2 linked regions of the Neodiprion lecontei genome follow. The protein of the gene in region 1 purifies or fractionates together with the protein of each later gene. This does not show direct contact. Links are inferred from orthologs where the notes say so. Each region holds a gene or a part of one and is shown on either strand. Other genes may lie near its edges.

What was found. The genes of interacting proteins can lie anywhere in the genome.
Region 2: the proteins of E3 ubiquitin-protein ligase MARCHF5 (region 1) and dynamin-1-like protein purify together in Homo sapiens (affinity purification with western blotting, with the first as the bait; 3 studies listed by BioGRID). This does not show direct contact. The link is inferred for Neodiprion lecontei from reciprocal best matches to the Homo sapiens genes MARCHF5 and DNM1L.

The regions. Positions count from the first base shown.
Region 1 is NC_060260.1:25,752,113-25,758,931, reverse strand, and holds E3 ubiquitin-protein ligase MARCHF5, read left to right. Parts: upstream 1-1,839; 5' UTR 1,840-1,967; intron 1,968-1,999; coding exon of another isoform or gene 2,000-2,449; exon of another isoform or gene 2,450-2,463; intron 2,464-3,001; exon of another isoform or gene 3,002-3,263; intron 3,264-3,305; exon of another isoform or gene 3,306-3,466; intron 3,467-4,376; 5' UTR 4,377-4,425; coding exon 4,426-4,603; intron 4,604-4,806; coding exon 4,807-4,969; intron 4,970-5,105; coding exon 5,106-5,314; intron 5,315-5,421; coding exon 5,422-5,740; intron 5,741-5,839; coding exon 5,840-6,005; intron 6,006-6,091; coding exon 6,092-6,247; 3' UTR 6,248-6,289; downstream 6,290-6,819. Other genes in the region: protein SFI1 homolog, read right to left, coding at 1-328, 539-793, 868-1,408, 1,525-1,709, 2,000-2,449. UniProt on the Homo sapiens protein: Mitochondrial E3 ubiquitin-protein ligase that plays a crucial role in the control of mitochondrial morphology by acting as a positive regulator of mitochondrial fission and as an important regulator of immune response.
Region 2 is NC_060264.1:30,295,097-30,302,685, forward strand, and holds dynamin-1-like protein, read left to right. Parts: upstream 1-1,589; 5' UTR 1,590-1,964; coding exon 1,965-2,066; intron 2,067-3,046; coding exon 3,047-3,611; intron 3,612-3,850; coding exon 3,851-4,098; intron 4,099-4,186; coding exon 4,187-4,717; intron 4,718-4,896; coding exon 4,897-5,082; intron 5,083-5,311; coding exon 5,312-5,633; intron 5,634-5,735; coding exon 5,736-5,947; exon of another isoform or gene 5,948-6,121; coding exon 6,122-6,178; 3' UTR 6,179-7,287; downstream 7,288-7,589. Other genes in the region: WASH complex subunit 1, read right to left, coding at 1-420, 609-738, 1,394-1,439. UniProt on the Homo sapiens protein: Functions in mitochondrial and peroxisomal division.

The sequences.
Region 1 (6,819 bases):
GAATTTTTTTGCTTCTTCTATAATTTACGTAGTGTTTCAAATGATCAAACGTTTTCGAGTATATCTTTTTTTGATAGTAAGATCTAGACACCGATCTTTTCCTGAAACTAGATTTTTTATGATTTACATATAGTTTCCATTGTAAAATCAATTTCAGTTTCAACTTGTTTTGTGCCCTTCGATTATATTCCTCAACTTTCTTATTCAATTCTTTCACCCGAAGACAATGCTCCCGCCAGTTTCCAAATACTCTATTTACAAGAGTCTTTTTATAAAAGTTGTTGACCGTTTCTATCTTCTCCCGTTTTACTTTTTTTCTCTCTATATTCTAAAATACAAGAACTTATTACCAATAAATCATTAGAAATCAGACATGAATTCCGGTTCCAACAATATTTGCTTCATCATCCCGTTTTCATTGAATTTACAAAGTCACATCAGATTTACAATCTCCTTCAAACGTTGGACAGAAATCGTTGGACGTATTTGTATGAATTTACAACACGTTTTACAATCCATTCAGAAAACAATTACCTACCATTGATAGCATTTTAAAAGTTTTCCGCTGCAGCATTTCTAAATAATACTCGTTTGCTTCGTTCAATAAATTTTGCACCCGAATATTTTCATTGCAAAAATTAATCCAGGCAGTAAAACACTTGCCGACTATTTTCTTCTCATAATGTAGACTTGACATCAGGTACTTTGCTTTCATAAATATTCTGTTATTATAAGATCTTATCCATCGTGAAATAGCATTCTGCAGTAAGGAGTCTTTAAAAAATTGGAGAGCCTGTGAAAAAAAATCAAAATATTATTTGAAACAAAACGATAGAATTATTCCACTTGAACAAAAATGTCAAATACTTTTTCTTCCAATAAGATGATTCGTCTTTTTTTATTGTAGGTCTTTTTCCACGTGTTCAAGAATTGCTTGCAGTAAAACGTTCTACACAAATCGAAAGCCTTTGCATTCAATGACTTTATTTTCTGTTGAAATATCTTATATTCGATCCACTTCTCTAGACATTTTCCAATAATATGCCGCTTGTAGAAAGACTTTGCCATTAAAATCTTATCCCTTAACTCGAAATCATTTTTTTCATCGATCATGATCGTCCATTTATTCCATACATTTAAAATCAACAATCTTTTGTAAAACAGCTTCAACTTTTGCATCGCCAATTTGGTATTTTTGCAACAGGTAACGTTGTTCGATAAAGCGTCTAGAATTTTTTGTTTCAATCTCATTATGTAAAAAAAGTTTGCTTTGTGCTTCAGGGTTCTCCCTTGTAATTTGTGACGTACATAACGTCTCCATGTTTTTAACAATTTACGCTTGAGCATATCATCGTGAAATTTAGCTGCTACCATCATGCGTTGCTTTTCAATAATTTGTAATGTGGTCCTGAGAAGAATATGTTACATAAATTATTGACGTTTATACAATAACCAATATTTTTACATGAAATAACTGAAATCATGCGTAATTCTCGTTTCCAAAGAAAATTCTTGCTCAATTACTTATTCTTCCAGAATTGCACCACCATTTTTAATAAATTGTCTTCGTACAGGTCTATGCAAATCTGAACGATTTCTCGTTTTGTACATTTATAACAAACGTACTTCCGCCAACGTGCAAAATAAAATCCGCTCACTTTGTATGTATAATAATTCTCTGCCTTGGATCTGAGACTTCTCTCATTTTTCTGGAAGTTGAAATATTGGCTGAACTCTCCCAATTAGGCAAACCTTGCTTTAGGAACTACAAGATCGCTCATCATTGAATGAATTAATTTGGACAGAATTCATCAATTGTGCAATATAAACAAAAATAATAGGTGAGATTCAACATAAACTACACAAGCATTACATATACTTTGAAAAATGAAGGTGAAGAATTTTCTGATCAGTGTTTTGTAAACGTCATCCCGAAAACCAACAGTTGAGAGAAGAGCACAATCAAGGTACGTAAATCAATGATAAAACATTCATCCACCTGTTGAAATACATACGATCTCCATCTTCTCATGTATTTTCGCATGAAAATAGATCTTCCAATTAAAATGGATTTCATTTCGAGTAAACTCTGTTTTATTTGCTCGTGAAAATAATCCGATAGTTTCATTAATAACAGCAAAGTGTACATCGAGTAGTATAATTCTATTGCGTTGTGTCGTATAATCTTAAAATTTTTCCTTTTCTTTGCTATTGTTTTCCAAGTAGACATTGTAATTTTTAATAATCGTTCGTCGTAATTCCATCTTACGATATCTTTCTGTTTGTTAATCATCTTCGCCCTCACGGCGTAAGAGAGCCATTCACTGAATGTTTTCTTAGTTAATTTTCCCTTGTAAAAGACGTCGGCTTTATATATTAATCTGTGAATTTGTTTCACCTCGAACCAATGCGCCTTGAGTTTGTCGAAAGATCTTCGTAACATCTTCATACCGTAATATCGTCTGCACTCCGAGGGATGATATTTTCCAAAAACTTTACGTAAATAAATGTGTCCGTACTTCCTAGCGATAATCTTTTCCCTTATCGTCAATATTTTCAGCTTAATCAAATATTTCGGTAACTTTGGCTTCAGTTTTCTACCACCATAGGTTGCGACATATTTTTCCGGTGCATAATAAATTATCGTTGTCATCTTAGCGAATGATGCTATTTTTCATCTGCAGATCTGCTTGTACCTGTATTTATTATTCAACCAACGTTTCAACCACGTCTAAACTCCGTCGTTCGTTAGTTCAACTTCTTCGTTTTAATGTCACAATGGCACAAATATATTCTCTCAATATGCGACTAGAGTATTGTTCATTCACGAGCTGATTGCATTTAAGTTCACGTTTTCGTTTTCAAAATAAATAACACACTGTTGATATTTTGAAAACTGAGACGCACGGTTCTCGCGAGTTTTAAATTCGGAAACCCGCGACGATCGCGACGAAGTATCGAGACGTCAATGCGATCGAATTCACAAACTCGAAGTGGTACAATCTGCGTGTGAATTTCATATATTGCTCAGTTCAATTCATCATCACTCGCCCTGGCCAAGGAGCCAAAGTACCAACCTTACTCAGAGAAATAATCATATCTTCTGAAATGACGAAACTTGGACACTTGTTTTCTCTGAGAAGATCACGAAATTTAGAGTGAACTTGGTTCATAATTATTATCTTGCACTTTGAGAACTCGAGGCTTTACATTTTTATCGTAAGTAAGCAAATAAGAGCTGCAACGTACGCCGATGCTGTCAGGTGAAAAACTCCTTCACTTTTATCCTTATAATCTTTATTTACATACATCATAAAGTCTTTGAACCCACGTCTTCAATTTTGCTGTTACCATCAAGAATTAACTGACAAAATTAACCTTGAACTATCTCCAAGAAAAAGTACCAAAAAAAACTGCACCATAAAGTAAATGAAGTAACCTCACTTTTTCCTCAACACACTGAAGTGTATGTTAATTTTTTCTTCTACCTTTCAACGAAAAACCGCAAATTTTGATCCGCTAAATTTATTGGGATTAAATAACTTAAAAATTTCAAACTCTATGTAGACAACATCAAATTTTCAAAGTAAAAGTGACATTTCCTTGTAGCTAAAAGTGACGTCCAATAAACTTTATAAATTATTATATAAGTATTTCGTTGGATCAACACACAAAGCAAAGAAAAATATACCTCGAACCTTGTCATGTGATAACAATTATTGTAACGTAAAAAAGTTGCTCCCACTTTACATGATGTCAATCTTGTGGAATCGAATCAGACAATTGTTACGTTACCTACTGCAACTGTGCACTGTCGAATAGCTAATACGATTATTCTTACGAAATATTGTAAGGCTGATTACAGTTTTTCCAATATTTCATTTTTGTGTAAGCTTTTGTTTTTGATTATCCAATCAAAAGTCAATAATTGATTATGATAACCACGAGCATGGTTAATCTTCAGAGGGCCAGCATTTTTCGCTTGAAATTCAATATTTTTTAGAGGTGTGATTTATGTACATAGATAGTTAACAAATCTAGTGGAATTTTCAAGTTATCTGCTGAATCCTAAAAGAGCCAGGCCAGTCCTCTAAAGGGCAAATGTGTTTCCAATTTTACCTGATCAAAGTTACAAGTCACAAGAAAAATTGATCACTTCTACTTCAGCACGTACTGTAAACAATTGTAAATAACTATGTGAATGCATCGATAACTCATGCTAAAATGATTCTCTCAAGCATATTTAGCTACGATACTTTTCCAGTTTTCAACACCAGTGAACAAGGCTTGATTGTCCTGAGCTTTTTCAATGAAACTTCCACAGTGTTCAAAATCTGTTATCCCATGAAAAATTAACATTTATTTTATTTCTCTAGGGCCAGCAATGCTAAGCATATTCTGAAAATAATCGTCTCGTTTATCACAATGTCTGATACTACCAGTCAATCCTCATCAGAGTTTGGCTTGGACAGCCAAGGCAGAGTGATTAGAGTTGACCCCGATCAAAGTCAGCCGATACTAAGACTTCCCAGTGTTGAGGAAACTTTACAAAGACTTGGAAATACTTTTAATTCTGGTCAATCGACAGCGGAACATTATAGCGGTAAGACATGATAGAGGGCTTGATAACAATATTTTACTCCTGTAGCTTTAATGAGAGTCAAGTTGTTCTGTTTATTACTATGCATTTTTTAGAATTATACTTGAAATTTCATTTTATTAACTGCTTACCTAATGAAGTTGGCATAAATCTACTATTGAATTTCAAATGTTGTTATTACCAAATACTACTTACTTACAAAATAGAAACATCAGATTCACTATGGAGAGGATCATCTCCCGAAGATGATACATCTAGAAACACATTACCAAATCTCACAGACACTGAACTATCTGTAGATGTTGCCGACGGATCATCAACCCCTAATGAAACATCAGAAACTGCAACAGCATTAACTTCAGAAGAAGAGTAAGACATGTTTTCATAATGTACGATACATTTTTTTTGAATGTCAGTGTCACAGTTTCATTTGGTAGATAATCATTTCAGGTAAAAGAAACTTTATACTGAAATCGTTATATATAAGAAAAATGTATAATTTTAGTAGAAAGTATTGTTGGGTTTGCTTTGCAACCGATGAAGATGACGCCACTGCATCATGGGTCAAGCCGTGTCATTGTAGAGGAACAACAAAATGGGTCCATCAAGGCTGTATACAACGCTGGGTTGATGTCAAGCAGAAAGGAAGAGCAGGCGAAGACGTTTCATGTCCGCAATGCAACACAGAGTATATCATCATATATCCAGACATGGGTAACGAAGTCATTTTAATACATCAAGAGCGTTTGAAAAGTTATAAATTGTTGAATGGAAACACAGGAGAATATCCTAGTACCTGTTGATATAACTATGTTTTACAGGTCCTTTGGTTGTTATGTTGGATACAATGGATAGCGTGATATTCCGCGTTTGTCCATTTATAGCAGCTGGTATAGTTGTCGGCTCAATTTACTGGACTGCTGTTACTTACGGTGCTGTTACTGTGATGCAAGTGGTTGGTCATAAAGATGGATTAACTATGATGGAGCAGGCAGATCCCCTTGTCTTGCTGGTCGGCTTGCCTACAATACCAATTATGCTGGTTCTTGGAAAAATGCTCAGGTGGGAAGATCAGGCTTTGAGTTTATTGAGAAGACACGCTTCCAAAGTGCCAATCCTCAGACACTTTTTGCCAAGCAGGTGCGTAGAAATCAATTCTGATTGTTTATGTTTTAATTTATTTTTTTTCAATCCGGAGTTGTGATGTACTCATTTTTTTTTTTTTTATCCAATATTCAGCTACATTGAGGATGAAAGACTGCAATCATCCGACGTCCCACCAATGAGTGATCCAGTATCTGCAACTAGAGTATTGTGTGGTGCACTTCTGCTTCCTACGATTGCTAGTATTTGCGGCAAAATCTTTTTTGAAAGCGTAAATTCTAATTTCCAGAGAACCTTGTTGGTATGCGTCCATTGCAATTTACTTGAGAATTTTTTCTTTGCTGTTTACCTGTAGGAACGTTTAGCTCATGAATAAATCTGTTGCAGGGCGGAATGGCGTTTATAACAATCAAAGGCGCGTTTAAAATATATCATAAACAACAGCAGTACGTTCGCCAATGTCAGAGACGAATTATGGATTACACGGACAGCAATATTGCATTATATCGAAGACATCAAAATGGCGAAAGTACAATCAGCTAAACTTTGACAATGAGCGAAGCCGTTCGATATACAATAACGAAGTTTTTAAATGAAGCTTAGAAGCTTTCGTGTATGACCTGAGAGAGTGACAACAGAATTTACTGGGCTAATTGTAAGGGGGTGTTGAAGCACCGTCCAAGTAAGCAAATCGTATTTTACACCCTTTTTCCCCCGAGTAATAAAATCGTTTCAAACTTTGGGAAATGATAGCGTCTGTAACCATGCTTGTGTAAATCATGGAGAAAGGTTCAGAAAATTGGTGGAAACACGATAAATATATTTACAGTCAACTCTCGCTCCTATACTTTTTTTATTTTTCCACAACTTTTCCGAATTTTTCTTACTGATCGCTAAGTTTGATTATGAAGTTGTTCATTTGCCGAAATTAGACACGATTTATCATTCCGGACAGGAAAACCGTGTGAAATACGTTTTGTTATCCTTGTTGAACGCTTGCAAAAAAGCATGTCAGGATACTGTCGGACACATTTAATTAGGCCTATCTCATCACCACTCTGAAATAAAAATTATATGTACGCTAAAGCAAAAGAAACAGAAGAAAACAATGTTAA
Region 2 (7,589 bases), on another chromosome or scaffold:
TTACCATACTGGTTGTCTTTGGCGTCGTGTAGCAGTAGCGAACTGACAGAGGTTGGTCTAACTGGAATAGCTCTAGAATGTCCAGAGCCCTTGCCTTTATTTGTTTTACTTTTGACGTGATAAAATTGCAGCTTGTCTTGTATGTTGATGTCAACGTTCCACCGCCCGTCCTTTGACTTTTCGGTGACGATATTTTGCGAGTTCAACTCCTGCGCTATGGGAACTGGGCTCTTATAGACGCTCGGCGGTTTATCCTCCTTTTTAATTGGCAGTTTTAGAGCCAGCGGATACTCTCTGTAGACATGATTCGAGGGGTATTTTGCTGCAGAGTATAGCTTCACCGCCTTCAAGCTTAGGTTATTTTGCAGGTGGTCTAATCTGCCCTGAAGTTTCACAGCGCGACCTTTTATACCGGCTAATCTGTAACAACGTATCAAAGATGAGATTTTTTAGTATATTTTCCAACCATTAGTTCTTTTCTTCTACCTTGTGAAAAATGAAAACGCTAATTAGTTATTCTTTCTTCAATCTCTGAGAGTGAAGACCAGATTTGCGCTACACAACTACATTTCATAACGAAAGAACACAAACAACTTTGTCTTGAATACCTTTTTGTATTTTCCGATAACCGCTCGTCGATACAGCTAAATATGCTTGCTACAGCAGAGTTGAGCGAATCTAATGCTTCTGCAATCTGGACTATGGTTTCCTCCTGTCGCAAATCATGCGGAATCACACCTGAAACACGATGCTGAAAATTAAAACTTGCCGAAGAGAGAATAATTATTTGTTTAAATAAATATTATTGTGACTGTTATTGTCATCTGATATTTAAAGATTAAAAATCATACGATTTCATAACGTTATCTATCCAAAGATCATAGATTATTTTGCATAACACTGTGGTCTGCGTTCGAATGAATTTGTTTAGAAATCTCATCTATCTCTCGAATCAATTAAAAACAATGCGAATGACTGATGTTTGAGTATTTATAACACGAAATGTATAAAAATTACGCCGAATGTATCATTATTACCAATTTCTATGTGCCCCTGCATTTCTCCTGATTCGATAAGGTCAATTTTTATACAAACAAACGACGATTGATTCAAATATCAATCCGACGCCGGCTCCTTCCCCCGAAAAATGTATTGACACTTAACAACAATCGCGAACCATTAACTCATCGCCATAAACTCTCTCATATCATTCGAGTTGTATTTAAATCTGGTTTAAACTACTCAAAACAAGTGCTACTGCATATCGTCTGCATAGGCGAACGACTGCCATTCTTAGTTCTGCCACTTTACGCCCATTAATTCTTTATCAGGTTAGGTTATGTTAGGTTCCGTTCCGTCCGTCAAAAACTGGCCAAAGATTGCAATTCTTTACCCAGTTTCGAATCGAATCCAAAGCGCGAGGCGGCTGAAGATCGCATGCGTAGCAAAGAGGATGAGAAAAGAAAATACGAACGCAGATTGATTTCCGTGATTATAATCGCGGCTTCGTGCAGTCTGTAATAAATTCAAATTTCAAATAACGGCCGCACTTAAAACCCATTCGCGATCCAATTCGCAATCGACCGCCTTAAGGAGAGTAAAGATGGCGGCTTGACGATTCCTGGCCGAGTGAATTCAGCCGGTGGATTAAACGGGAGTAGTGAGTTAAAAAGGGTATCGCTGGGTTAATGAGAGGTTTCGATTTCGTCGACGATCGATGCAGAAACCGCCTAGGTTTTAGTTTCTGTAAAATAAAACGATAATCCATCGATCTCTGCATACGCTCGAGCTGGATTTGTTGAAGGTGGTGTAGATGCTCGTAACTGTTGGAATCGCAGTATCCTCGATCTTCCGATTGTTCTTCAGCTTGTAATTTTCGTCGGGTGGCTAGAATTTCAGGCTCCGTTAATCTGTACAGAAATCGTGGTATTCCTCGACTACTCTTAACCTCGTCGTCGTCGATCATGGAGGCCCTCATTCCAGTGATAAATAAACTCCAAGATGTATTCAACACCGTTGGTGCTGACGCCATACAATTGCCTCAAATCGTCGTTCTCGGAACACAGGTTAATTATAATTTCACCTATACTATTGACAATGTGTCGGTACGTTTCAAACCATTGATTTAGACAGTCTCGCGTTTCTTCCTTAAAAGCCCGATCTTGCCCTCGGATCCTTGATCCTTTATCTTTGTGATCCTACTTGTCGTCGATATGACTTTTTCAGGTATTGTATTTCAAATTCGAAGAATATTATACTAAAATTATTTTACTTCACTCATTAAAATTACTATCGTTTAAAAGTTTCTATTTTTATCGATGATTTTTACTAGTTTTAGCATTTTCTTACAGTTGAATTTATTTTTTGCTGATGAGACCAGTGATGAAAGAAAACATATTTTTTTTCTTTTCCTAATGGAATCTTGCAAATCAATTCTTTGAAAACACTATTTTTTAATTTTATATCCATCTTTGGTTTCATTTTTACTCCTAAATTATTCGTCCACCTTAACGCCTACTTTCATAAAACATTTCTCCAATTTTTAGATTCTCATTGTTAGGTTACATTGCATGATCTGTGAATGACAACAAATATGAATTTTCTTAACAGGATCCAGCAAAAACTATTTTTCCAATTCAACAATCATTAAAATGAACATACAAGTGAAACTTTAAAAAAACGTTATCCCATTCCAAAATTACTTTTCTTTCATTACCACTTCCGGTATTAGTTATTTAGTGATTGCTAATGATTTTCAAAGATAAAAATTTTAATCCCTGTGCTAAACTATGAAAACACTTATTCTTGAGGTTGAGAGTTATCAGAATTGTTGATAAATTGAAATGAATCTAATTCCAGGAATAATTTTCTACTATGAATTAGAACTCCAGAAAACTGTGCAGTCACAAATAGTTTGGGAAAATGTTTATTTCTATGATGAATTACCTCTTCCAATTCCCTTGTGTTATCCATACATTATCCCATTTGAGAATGAAAAGAATATCCGACAAATGAAATGAGAATATATGTTTTCCATTGTATGCAGAGCTCCGGGAAATCGTCCGTCATAGAGAGTTTGGTAGGCCGCTCGTTTCTGCCCAGAGGGACTGGTATAGTGACTCGTAGGCCGTTGATTCTTCAGCTCGTTTATGCGCCGAAAGATGACAGGGAGCACAGAACAGCCGAAGATGGGACGCTGACCCTTGACGAGTGGGGTGTATTTTTGCACACTAAAAATAAAATATTTACAAACTTCGATGATATCAGATTGGAAATTGAGGCTGAAACGAATCGGATGGCTGGATCCAACAAGGGAATTTGTCCTGAACCGATTAATCTGAAGGTTTATTCAACCTCGGTTGTAAATCTGACACTCGTCGACTTGCCAGGGATCACCAAGGTCCCCGTTGGCGATCAGCCCGAGGATATTGAAGCGCAAATCAGAAACTTGGTTCTGAAACACATTTGCAATCCAAATTCCATAATATTGGCCGTTGTAACCGCAAACACGGACATGGCGACCAGCGAGAGCCTCAAACTCAGCAAAGACGTTGATCCCGATGGAAGGAGAACCCTCGCAGTTGTTACTAAACTGGATCTAATGGACGCTGGTAATTTGACCAACTAAATAGTAACTTTGAACTGATATCTGATGTATTGAATTTTGTGGCGACGTATTTCTTTCTATCCTTCTTTTTTCTCTCTTAAACTGGAGTTAAGTTTAAGAATTGATTTGATTAGCTAATCTTGATCTGAAAATTTGTCCCGAAGAATTATATTTTTCTTGGAATTATTTTATCATTCATTTATACAACCCTGCTTGAGAGTCGCTTGTTATTTTGGGTTTGAGGAACGGATGCGATTGATATCCTGTGCGGACGGGTGATTCCTGTGAAGCTGGGGATCATAGGAGTTGTAAATCGTTCACAGCAAGACATAATGAATAACAAGTCTATCCAGGAAGCTCTTAAGGACGAAGCTGCCTTCCTGCAACGAAAATATCCTACTTTGGCAAACAGAAACGGCACTCCTTACTTAGCAAAAACCCTCAACAGACTTTTAATGCATCATATTCGCGATTGCCTTCCCGATTTAAAGGTAAGCCTTTGCTAAATTGTTAGTCAGGAGAGCATGTAAATCTGGTCCCTTCCTTCGGCCATGTAACAATTATTTATTCAAACAACAGACACGCGTGAATGTGATGGTCTCCCAATTCCAAACACTTTTAAACTCATACGGAGAGGATGTGGGAGACAAGAGCCAGACACTGCTTCAGATAATAACCAAGTTTGCGAGCAGTTACTGTTCGACGATTGAGGGAACAGCAAGAAATATAGAGACTACCGAGCTCTGTGGAGGTGCTCGTATCTGCTACATATTTCACGAGACATTTGGACGAACACTAGATTCCATTCATCCACTGGCTGGTCTAACTAGGATGGATATTTTGACTGCAATTCGAAATGCGACGGGTCCCAGACCGGCTCTCTTTGTTCCCGAGGTCTCGTTTGAACTCCTGGTCAAGCGACAGATCAGGAGACTCGAAGAGCCTTCGCTACGCTGCGTCGAACTAGTTCACGAAGAGATGCAGAGAATCATTCAACACTGCGGCACCGAAGTTCAGCAAGAAATGCTTCGTTTTCCAAAACTACACGAACGGATCGTCGACGTTGTTACGCATCTTCTACGCCGACGATTACCGACAACTAATTCTATGGTGAAGATATTTCAAATACATTACACGCAACTTTGGTCTGCGTTTTGTGAAAATGGAGCATTGACATCGATTTCACTTAGACTTGCCTGAACGGTTTACCTTATTTGTAATGACGTTGCGACTAGTTTTTCGCTTATTTCGGCACTTGTTATAATTAACCAAGAGAATCTGTTTACAAGGTGGAGAATTTGGTCGCTATCGAGCTTGCTTACATCAATACCAAACATCCAGATTTTCACAAAGATGCGGCACTAGTCTCTTCGTTATTAAAGAATGCAGAGGCGGATCAAGTAAGACCCAGTAAAAGACATATATCTGCTTCTTCAAATACTTCTACAGGCAGTACGATTCTACCTTCCGAACAAGTGAGCAATAATAGTTGATCCATTCTTGGTTTAAATTGAACAATTTTATATTTTCGTCTATTTCTATCAACCATTGAATGTTTCTGAACAGAATTTTGAGAAAATTTTATTGTTCTCAGAACATACCTATATTGTCTTTTTTATCTCGCAAGTTGAAAAATTTCCTGATCAACTACAATCAATCAAATATTTTCGTCACATAAAAGCTTTGGTAACAATGTTTTGTCAGAATCAAAAAGCAGTCAACAATCGTGAGGAGCCACCGGTATTTAATAACGAACAAAGTAAAGAGGCACAAGCAAATCATTGGCTGCTGAGCAACTTGCTGCCGCAAGTAAAGTCTGATTCAACAAGCGGCAATTCCATCGATGGATCTCCAGTAAGATATAGGGATGGAAGTCCCATTCCTAATCCTACACCTAGCCCAAATTCTGTTTCGGATTTACAGCGGGGATCGCCACAGCAAAAACCAGTAAATCTACTCCCAGAAGTTCCGATGCAAACTTCTCGGAAGCTTAGTGATCGTGAGCAACGTGACTGTGATGTGATCGGTAAGATATCTGGAATGATTAATGGTTCGATCTTTGTCTTTTTTTTTTTAATCTACAGTTTTGTTCAACTATAAATAATTAATGTTATTTTATACTTTTCAGAGCGTCTTATCAAGTCGTATTTTTACATAGTTAGAAAATCAATTCAGGACAGCGTACCGAAGGCTGTTATGCATTTCCTCGTTAATTACGTTAAGGACAATTTACAGAGCGAGTTGGTCACTCACCTGTACAAAACGGACCACATTGAGTCGTTACTTAATGAGAGCGAACACATCGCCGTGAGGCGTAGGGAAGCTGCTGATATGCTCAAAGTGCGTACATTGTTTATTTTTTTTTTTTTCCTCACAAATATTATCGTTTGTTCACTTGGGAGTCTCGAAACGTTAACCGATCGAGAGACCCGCTTTAAAGACAATGGAAATATAATTCATACAATTATTCGATCGCTGAAGAATGGTGTATAATTATATTTATATCATTTACAGGCACTAACAAAGGCTGGGCACATCATAAGCGAGATTCGTGAGACACATATGTGGTGATCATCGTCACTAGTCGTATGAGAAATGCACAGGTGCAGAAATGCTAGTAACAAATAGGTATATCACTTGCGTCTGGACATACGCCGGTAATTGATTGAATTAATGCCATTTGCCTGTTGAATCAAACGGTTCTGTTTTCCAAGCGGTTGTCCAATATCCTGAAAACTGCTCGAGTATGCAATTCTTAAAAATGCAAAGTTCCAAGTTCTTCGAATGCATAATTTAAGAAATCAAATTATCGTATTCGAGTTAATGTCCAGGGTATTCAGGAGAACAAAGAGTGTAAAACTTCACATGGAAAATAGAATCGAGTGTATATTTTTATTTCAGGGAGCTTTTCTTTTTTTATTTTTTTTTTCCCCCCCATCTTACTTATTGTTATCATTCGTAGTTATGGCGTAGTTATCGACTGCAATTTCATGTGTGAATTCTTACTCGGGAATGAAACATAAGTGTCGAATGTATACCTGGCATAGGCATCGAGGTATATATGTAAAATGGTAGTGCTGTATTAATTATTCTATTTTTAATTGATTCTAATTGTTAATGATGTTTACTGTACTATTGTATAAAAATGACGTATACAATTATTACGAAAAACTAGGAAATAGGAAACGCGCGCACGTGCCGGTAATCACGCATTAATTTTTAAACGATTCAAAGCTATAAAAGCAAGCCGAATTCACATAGGTTGTTTTCGCTGTCTGCGTTAAATTCTGAAATTCTTTGTGGTATATAAATTTTCAAAAATACAGTTTAAACCATTTTTCTGCAAAAAAAACGTACCGACATTTTTCGCTGTATCAAGAAATTCACTATTACTTCGGTTCGTAATTCCGAATTTTGTAACCGAGATATTACAGCAAAATTCGAAATTTAGAAAGGCAAATATCGATACTTTTCCCCCCTTGTTTTTCTCTCTTTAGATTTTTTCATGTACATAAAAAAAGTTAGACAGAAGTTTGACTTTCTGCCATGCTTAAACTTTGTAAATATATTTAAGAAAAACAGAGTGAAATTCACGTCGAAAAAAAAAAAAAAATAGAATTACTGCGCAAAAAATCCAAAGATCGCTAATATATTCTTGTCGTTCGTTTATATTCATATACTCGAGCAAAAAATTCTCTGATTCTACAATTGTACTGTTTTTAATTATTATCCATAATTAATTTTTCTTAGATATTATTGCTAGGCGATTTTTTTCTCTTCTATATATACATTATTTTTTTTTCTTTTTTTAATTTTTTTCATTTGTGTTTTTCTTTTCCTCTTTCTTTTTAGACAATTCCAAGTATCATGAGTGTGAATCCAATAATAAATCATAAGCAGTAATATTAAAAACGTTTGCCCGTTTTCTTTCATCTTCGTTTTTATATAATTTAACTAACACATTATCTGTCATTTATTCAAG